Macaca mulatta: one gene and its partner. The protein of the gene in region 1 purifies or fractionates together with the protein of each later gene. This does not show direct contact. Links are inferred from orthologs where the notes say so. Each region holds a gene or a part of one and is shown on either strand. Other genes may lie near its edges. The genes, in order: H1-4 and LARP7.

Evidence for each region.
Region 2: the proteins of H1-4 (region 1) and LARP7 purify together in Homo sapiens (affinity purification with mass spectrometry; 3 studies listed by BioGRID and IntAct, with this or other methods). This does not show direct contact. The link is inferred for Macaca mulatta from reciprocal best matches to the Homo sapiens genes H1-4 and LARP7.

The regions. Positions count from the first base shown.
Region 1 is NC_133409.1:156,952,439-156,956,920, forward strand, and holds the start of H1-4 (histone H1.4), read right to left. Parts: upstream 2,922-4,482; 5' UTR 2,859-2,921; coding exon 2,199-2,858; 3' UTR 1,165-2,198; coding exon of another isoform or gene 784-1,164; 3' UTR 775-783; intron 478-774; 3' UTR 1-477. Other genes in the region: H2BC5 (histone H2B type 1-D), read right to left, coding at 784-1,164. UniProt on the Homo sapiens protein: Histone H1 protein binds to linker DNA between nucleosomes forming the macromolecular structure known as the chromatin fiber. Histones H1 are necessary for the condensation of nucleosome chains into higher-order structured fibers.
Region 2 is NC_133410.1:121,876,573-121,880,388, forward strand, and holds part of LARP7 (la-related protein 7), read left to right. Parts: coding exon 1-67; intron 68-106; exon of another isoform or gene 107-174; intron 175-236; exon of another isoform or gene 237-304; intron 305-402; exon of another isoform or gene 403-471; intron 472-579; exon of another isoform or gene 580-647; intron 648-714; exon of another isoform or gene 715-790; intron 791-1,796; coding exon 1,797-1,948; intron 1,949-2,728; coding exon 2,729-2,847; intron 2,848-3,816. UniProt on the Homo sapiens protein: RNA-binding protein that specifically binds distinct small nuclear RNA (snRNAs) and regulates their processing and function.

The DNA of each region.
Region 1 (4,482 bases):
TTGCCTACCTGCAGTCAGACACCTTAATGACTATTTGGGTTTCTGCCATTACCTAGTGAACTTTTAACCTGAAAGCTGCCAAAAGAAAACTATAAATTAAATAGCTTTCTGAAAAAGACGGTTTAGCAAAATAATTTTAAGGTGTCTCAGAAGTTGCTTCTTTTTTCCTGCACCTCAGCGCCTAGGATCCGCCTTTTCCTCCCCTACTCGCCTAAGAGCTTCAGAGAGAAACTGGCCCAATTACAAAGCAAACCAGAAACCTTTGTAATACTTCCGTGTTCAGCTCACATTGTCTTCAGCCTTTACTTGCAGTTATCACGTATCTGCATGGTAAAAATTTTACAAGAAAACGGGGGGCGGGGGTGATGGTGGAGAAAGCTCCAAACAGAAGGAAGTTGCAAAAGGGTGCTCTTTTGTGTTCAGGGTGGGCCGTCACCACACGAAGTCCCAGATCAACATCACGATCAACTTGGAAATCTGCACACGGAAACGAAAGAGCTGTACACTTACAGTACTTTCAGTTTATGTTAGTGTTATCTGACACTAAATGAGCTAATGATCTAGTATGTGCCCATAGCACTCAACTTCTGGTACCTATTGTTACTACCTATAATTTCCAAGTATTTCCTCTGCAGTACTAACATAACATTAAAGATTGGTAGTATGGTGCTGAGAAATCCAATAATCCCCCTTTTGAATGAAATTACAACTCATTTACTGAAAACATGCGTGGCTCTTAAAAGAGCCTTTGGGATTAGGTGTAAAGATGCTTACTTGGCAAAGTTACTTGGAACTGGTGTACTTGGTGACGGCCTTGGTGCCCTCCGACACGGCGTGCTTGGCCAGCTCCCCCGGAAGCAGCAGGCGCACGGCCGTCTGGATCTCCCTGGAAGTGATGGTCGAGCGCTTGTTGTAGTGCGCCAGGCGGGAAGCCTCGCCGGCGATGCGCTCGAAGATGTCGTTGACGAAGGAATTCATGATCCCCATAGCCTTGGAAGAGATGCCGGTGTCGGGGTGGACCTGCTTCAGCACCTTGTACACATACACGGAATAGCTCTCTTTGCGGCTGCGCTTGCGCTTCTTCCCGTCCTTCTTCTGCGCCTTAGTCACCGCCTTCTTGGAGCCCTTCTTTGGGGCAGGAGCAGACTTGGTAGGCTCAGGCATAGCAACGTTAATAATTACAACACTGTCGCAAACACCTGAGAAAATAATCACTCCCACCGATGCCCCGTTCATTTATAGATGCGGTATTCAAATGAGGTTAATCAGATTTCGTTTATGATTGGATTAATTTTTGTGTGTCGTCACAAATGCCAATGTAAACGACACTTAAAAGTCTACCTTTTCATTGGCTATTTCATTACTTTACTTTTACCCAATCAGAAAGCCCAGACCAGACTACCCGAGGCTACTATAAATAGTCGTCTTTAGACAAGTCAGCTGTGCACTTCTCTTGGAGCAGTTGTTTTTGAGATCACACTTTTTATTAGCGTTGTGGTGTCAGAACGTATACTGAAAGATACTTTAGGAGAGCTCACGTTCTCTTTTCTTCCTCTAACAAATTATAGGACTCGTTGCATACAGAAGTCATGGTAATTGGGATATCCCTGGAAGTCTGGCAGTTTTGCGTTTGGGAAGTCATCTATGCAAATGCTACATTTAAGGACCAAGTATTTTCTGCAGTGTCAATTTCTAATTTTTAGTTGTGGCAGTGGTTGAAATAGTGTACTATGCCACCTGTGTCGAGACGTACTCCTCTGCACTCCTTCATTGCTTGCCATAGTCTGTAGGGAGCCAGCACGGAAATTGAGTGTTCTCTATTCGGAACTCATACGTCCCAGCCTAGAAGCCCGCGAAAATCCCGACTTTTTTTCCCATGCTATTTGCAGGCCAGATCTCGCTAAGTGTTAAGTACTACGGAGGTCGAAATGGGTTTTAACTCCAGTATTCGAAAACGCAATAAAAGCTCAATGACGCGGCTGCACTCCTGCTTGGCCGACGGAACGCGAAATGACCCCCTGGCCAAAAACGGCTCCTCTCTCCCGACTTTGTTCCCGGGAGACCCGCCCCTCAATAGCGGCGTTTTCCCGGCCACACCCCCTGATAGTGTAACAGCTCTTTTACTGAAAGCGGTGGGTGGCTCTGAAAAGAGCCTTTGGGTTGTGTTGAGCTTCTAAGCAGTTGGCCAAAGGAACTTCCTACTTTTTCTTGGCTGCCGCCTTCTTTGGCTTGGCTGCCTTGGGCTTGGCGGTCTTTGGTTTAGCCGCCTTGGGTTTCACTGCTTTGGCCTTCGCTGGGCTCTTGGGCGCTTTTTTTGGCTTGGCTGCTTTAGCCTTTTTCGGGCTTTTCGCTTTTTTGGCTCCAGCAGCCGCAGCCGGCTTCTTCGCCTTCTTTGGGGTCTTCTTGGCGCTCTTCTTAGGGGTGGCTGCCCCCGTCGCCTTCTTGGGCTTCTTCGCCGCTCCTGTAGGCTTCTTGGCTTTGGCCGCGCCTGCCTTTTTAGCTTTAGGCTTGGCTTCCCCGGAGGCCGCCTTCTTGTTGAGTTTGAAAGAACCCGATGCGCCGGTGCCCTTGGTCTGCACCAGAGTGCCCTTGCTCACCAGGCTCTTGAGACCCAGCTTGATGCGGCTGTTGTTCTTCTCCACGTCATAGCCAGCGGCTGCCAGCGCTTTCTTGAGAGCGGCCAAAGATACACCGCTGCGCTCCTTGGAGGCGGCAACAGCCTTAGTAATGAGCTCGGACACGGGGGGCCCAGACGCTTTGCGCTTAGCCGCACCTGCGGACTTGCGAGCCTTCTTCTTCACGGGTGTTTTCTCGGCTGGGGCCGGAGCAGCGGGCGCGGCAGGCGCAGTCTCGGACATGTTGAAGGCAGGCGTGAGAGAGAGAGCAATTCGAGCCGGAAGCAGAGGCACTGGCCGGGACTCGGGCCGCGGCGCTGCGCCCGCCCGTTTATATAGGGCGGAGCTGCGCCGTGATTGGTGCGCTGTCCAGCCCGCCTCGCTGGCAGCCGCAGAGTGTCCTCTCGGATCCCGAGTTGTGTTTGTTACACCTCAAAAAAAGCCAAAAATATAAAAATTGTCTGCACCGAACTACCCGGTTTTTCTCAGATAATGATCCCCGAACCCTCAGGCTTCACGCAGATCTCAAATTATGAGGAAAGCACAAAGCCTTGTGCCAAAAACTTGCAATATTTCCCGCCGTGCTTGGCAAATTTCAACTCAGAGAAACAAAACTTTCTATTTTCTTCGTAAATTATAAACCGATCTTTAACTGTGGAGTTTTCTGACCTCTCAAATATGATTCTCCAAGTGGTTAGCTTCTGATATATCCAAAAAGCATGCCACTGGCATTAAGATTTTTATTACAAATCTGCACTTAAGTGAGGGAAGTAACACAGGCTCCTCGGAGAGTCCTGCCTATTGAGCCGAGGGCATTTGAGTTCATCAAACTGGTTTAGTTTAATGCTAAACAAATTATTCCTCATTTGACATTAAGTTTTGGACCCCTGGGACATCAATCTATGCAGCCGTGGTTTTACATCTGTCCGCTATATCTGAGTTTTAAAACAATTCCTTTGGATAATTCTTTCCCTTTCTGCTCCCAAGGGTTGGGGGCGGGGCTGTTGCTTCTCTCTTCTCTGGACAACTGCTCCATGGATTGAGATACCTTGAATTCAGGGTATTTGGGAACGAAGGGAAGTCCAAAATATACTCAGGGTACAGAGTTGAAAAAAGATTAATTTTCGAATGTGATGTTCATAAAGTCACTGGAAGTGGAGGTGCACTTTTCTTTAAAGCATTTGTCTGCAGCCTTGCTGAGTGCTTTTGGCATATGCTTCAGAACCAAATTGCAATAAAGTAGCTTAGAGCTGGAATTCAAACATTGATAATAAGGGAAAATAAATAAGAACTGTATATTGAAACATATGTACTCCCATTATTAGAGAAGCCCAGCCGCTATTATTACTGAATAGTTGAGGAATGACTAGTCCACTCACCATGTATGGTTTCAATCCCCCTGAAGACTGTATCCCAACGCTTCGCAGAGCGCAATAGAAAGAAAAATAAGTGACATGTAGTGATTAAATGACAAGTTCAAATTTCGATCTCAGAAGCAGAGCTTTGAGAGTCTATCTAAGCTATTATAAATCATTGCCCTCTGAAAACATCCTTTGAACAATGTCTGAGTAAATCTCTTTAGGTAGTTGCCCAACCAAGAAGAGTGTATGTAGGTTGGCAATGAAAGCCCAACTAAAAGAATTATTTCTGAATAACGGTATGGCTGGAACAGTATGGGTGGAACTACAAGCCACTTATCATGGAAACAAAATAAAATTTTGCCCAATGCTATAAGTTGATATGATACTGTTCTGTGGACGTGGCTGATTGTAATATGGCGTTGGATATCACTTTAAATGTTAATTTCATTGCCCAAAATCTCCAGACAAAAATTCTGCTACTGAAATAAAGAGAATATAGAATTTTG
Region 2 (3,816 bases), on another chromosome or scaffold:
ACAAGAAAAAACATAAAGAGAGACATAAAATGGGAGAAGAAGTTATACCATTAAGAGTACTATCAAAGTAAGTCTGTGGTTTAAATCCTGTCATTAGCTTAACAATCCATCACCATTGCTAAAGTGCAATTCCAATTTGTGTTCAACAGAGTTGCATATTAGCAACAGTAGTGGCCTGTAGCAAAGAACTGCACACAATGTGGGCGTTAACGCAATCGATGATTAAGTAGGAACCACCACACTCAAACATGGAAGCACTTATTTTTGTCTTACCACAGCAAGTGCCTCCATGTTAAAGTAGAGGGGGCACCTTAACAGACTTAAAAATACAAAATAAAGCTTAAATAAACGAGAATAAAATCCTTTTCTAAAAACCTTATAAAAATGTAAAAGGAAGACTTACCATCACCAAAACATGGAAGCACTTACTTCTTTAGTTTCAAAGCAAGTACATCCACGTTTAAGTGGTGGGAAGCCCAGTCTTGGACAAACTTAGAATCCTTTAACCTGTAACAAGCTTAGTAAGCTTGAAACACAGTAACAAAAAAAATTAACAAAAGGTGTGCTGACTTGGAGACACCTCCACTGAAACATGGAAGCACTTACTTTTGTTTCACACAGCAGGTACCCCCATGTTAAAGCAAAGGGGATCCCTTCAACCTCTTAAGGAGAGTGAAGTTAGCATGTTCTATTTTGGAGAAGTAAGTTGGATTCACTCCTACTAAAACATGGAAGCACTTACTTATTTTAAAGTCACAGAAAGCACTTCCATGTTAAAGTTGAAGGGAGCCCACCCACATACAACTTCTTTGGGACTTGAGAGTAGTTAAAGCTGAGGAGAAAGAAAACAAAATGGCATACCTTTTGAAGAAAAATATTTCCTTACCTTCCTGAATTAGTTCCCAAAGATTCCTGTCCTCCTCCAGAAGGGTAAAAGGCAGGGACTTCAGCCACTTCTATTTATACTATTCTTAACTCCTGAATTCCTTTTGCCTTTTTATCTCAGAGAATCATTACAAGGGCCTTTTGTTATTTTAATGTATCAGCTCTTGGGGAATGTATGATCCTGGGTGGGTCTGGATCCTTTTTTTTTTTTTTTTTTTTTTTTGGAAGTATACAGATGTCAATGTTAACAGCTAAAACCATTACCACAAGATATCTTCCTCTTTAAAAAAAAAAAAGGAAAATCTATCTGCTTGTTTGATGGCATAGATTAGGGTAACAATGAGTGCTCCCACTAAGCCAAGAGAGGCATTGTGTTTCTATCTGGAGGAACTCTAGCTGTTTGAAGAAACATCTACATGTTAAATATATGTAAATAAATAGAATGCTTCCATGGGGTGTTTTGTTCTACTTAGAAATTCTTTTTGATTCAAGTAAATACTAAGGAATGTTATCTCTCAAATTGGAAGCAGTTTAACAAATCTTTAATCTCGGGCTTTTCCCACAGAGATGACTGATTTAGTAAATGTTACTAGTTAAGGAATCAATGCTAAAATGTTACTTTTATAAATTAAAATACTTCAGACACACTCAAAAATGTAATTGGCAATCTTAAAACGTTTAATCTGAATATTGGGGGAAGAGGAACTCCCTTAGCTTATTTGCTAAATGTCTTTAGAACCCAGGAAATATTTTGAATATGTGTTTAAAGAAACAAGAAAGTTGGGTGGAGGAGTTACTCCAAGTCATTGTGAATGTATATATTTAGATATTCCCATATTTACTTTTTATATTTTAATATTTTTTTTTATATTTAGTCGTCTATAATCACTATTTCATTTCTTTCCTTGCAGGAGCGAATGGATGGATTTGAAAAAAGAGTATTTAGCGCTACAAAAAGCTAGCATGGCTTCTTTAAAAAAAACAATATCCCAAATAAAATCAGAGTCAGAAATGGAAACAGACGGTGGAGTACCTCAAAAGACTGGAATGAAAAATGAAAAAAGTAAAGATCACTGATAGTTTTGACTTATAATGTACAGTTTTGACTTATAATGTACTTATGTATGAAAATGCTATCTCTGAGTTGTTACAAGATAAACTTTAATTTTAAAAAACTTGATTATTCTGTGTCATTATTAGAACAATTCTTGATTTGTTAAGTTATCCAGATATGTTATTTACTCTTGATATAAGAACATTTAAAAGGCTCATTTAAAACAATTTTTTAAATAACCTGAGTTTTCTCTACAGTTTTCATTTAAGCACATGAGTGCAGTTTGTAGACTGAACAAGTTTGTAGGAATGAAGATTGTAGTTCTCACCTGTAATTTCATTCTGTAGTATGAACCACAAGCAGGAATAAGTTAAAGCAAAATTCTTACGAATTCAAAATTAGGATACATCTTAAATTATCATTTCTTGTAAAAATAAATGATGCTCACGTTGGAATAATTATTTAAAACAGTATCCTATAATTTTTTTTTAACTTTATTGAGTTAAAATTTGCTGTTCCTTTGTGCAGGGAGAAGGGGCAAACTTAAAGACTACCAGTGCTCTTCTAGCAGTAACAGTTTGCATGTAGAATAATAAACCTTTCTGGATTTTATTTCATGGTATTTTGAAATAAGCAGTATGACATATAAAATAAACTTTATTTTAAAATTAAATACGTTTTAAATTATTTAAATCTGCCTCAGGAATTATTCTAAGATAGTCCTCCCAAGTATTAAATTGTTAAGTGTAAGAGATTTAGTGCTGGTCTTTTTCCTCTTCTAATCAACAGCCAACAGTGAAGAGTGTCCCACCCAGGAGAAAGTTAATGCAACAGGACCACAGTTCGTGAGTGGAGTGATTGTGAAGATCATTAGCACAGAGCCTCTACCTGGCAGGAAACAAGTCCGGGTAATGATTTTGAGCCCGTAGGGTATTTGTTCCTTTCTTGTCTTAACTTCCCTGTGTGATAATGTTTTGAATATGGAAGATAAATCAAATTAGAATTTGTATCTCTATGGTAAACTACCTGTACAGTTTTAATTCCATGGTAACTCTTAGGTTTAATTTTGAAGCAAAAACTAGAGACTGAAATTCTTCACTGAGTCCATTTTATAGTAAGCACAGTTTAAACATCCTTCTTTATAGGAAAATTGTAACTTTTGCTTATTTTTATTGGCACGGATTTATTTTTTTGTATTACCTATGTGCTGATTATCTTTAAAATTGTAATTATAGAAAAGTGTAAAATATTTTTGAAGACCTATAGAAATCTTTCACACATGTGCCAAAAAACCCATAGTTCTATATAATTTACGCTACAAATTGCTGTACACACAGGTTTATAATCTTTTTTTCGTTTTGTACAGTCTATCTTCTATAGCCTTTTATACCACACTGGTAGCAATACTTCTTTCTATTAGGGAAAAGTAAGTATATACTTTTATGTGAGAGTACCGTATCTTATTTACCCTTACCCTGCCTGTGACCCATTTAAGTCAATCCTTTTCTTTTTAAAAAGTGTGAAATGCTCTGTAACATACCACATATTTTAAGTATTTTCTTATACTGACATTCATCATCACTTAGTATATTGTTTTGGTTTCACATAGACTCATCAGTCACAGGTTTTAACTTGAATATCATTGAGGTGGTTGTTTATCTGTAAGCACTCCTTATCTGAAATGCTGTCCTACAATCCTATAGCTGTCACTAAGAAACAAATTTTGATTCTCTTTCCAATATTGGTGAAGGATTTGGCCAAATCCAAATTGCTATTACCAACTTGCATTTCAGGAGACAGCTGAAAATTGAGGGATGTAAATACCGCTCTGGTTAATCAGATTGCAAAACATTTAATAAAAAAAATTACTCAGTTAT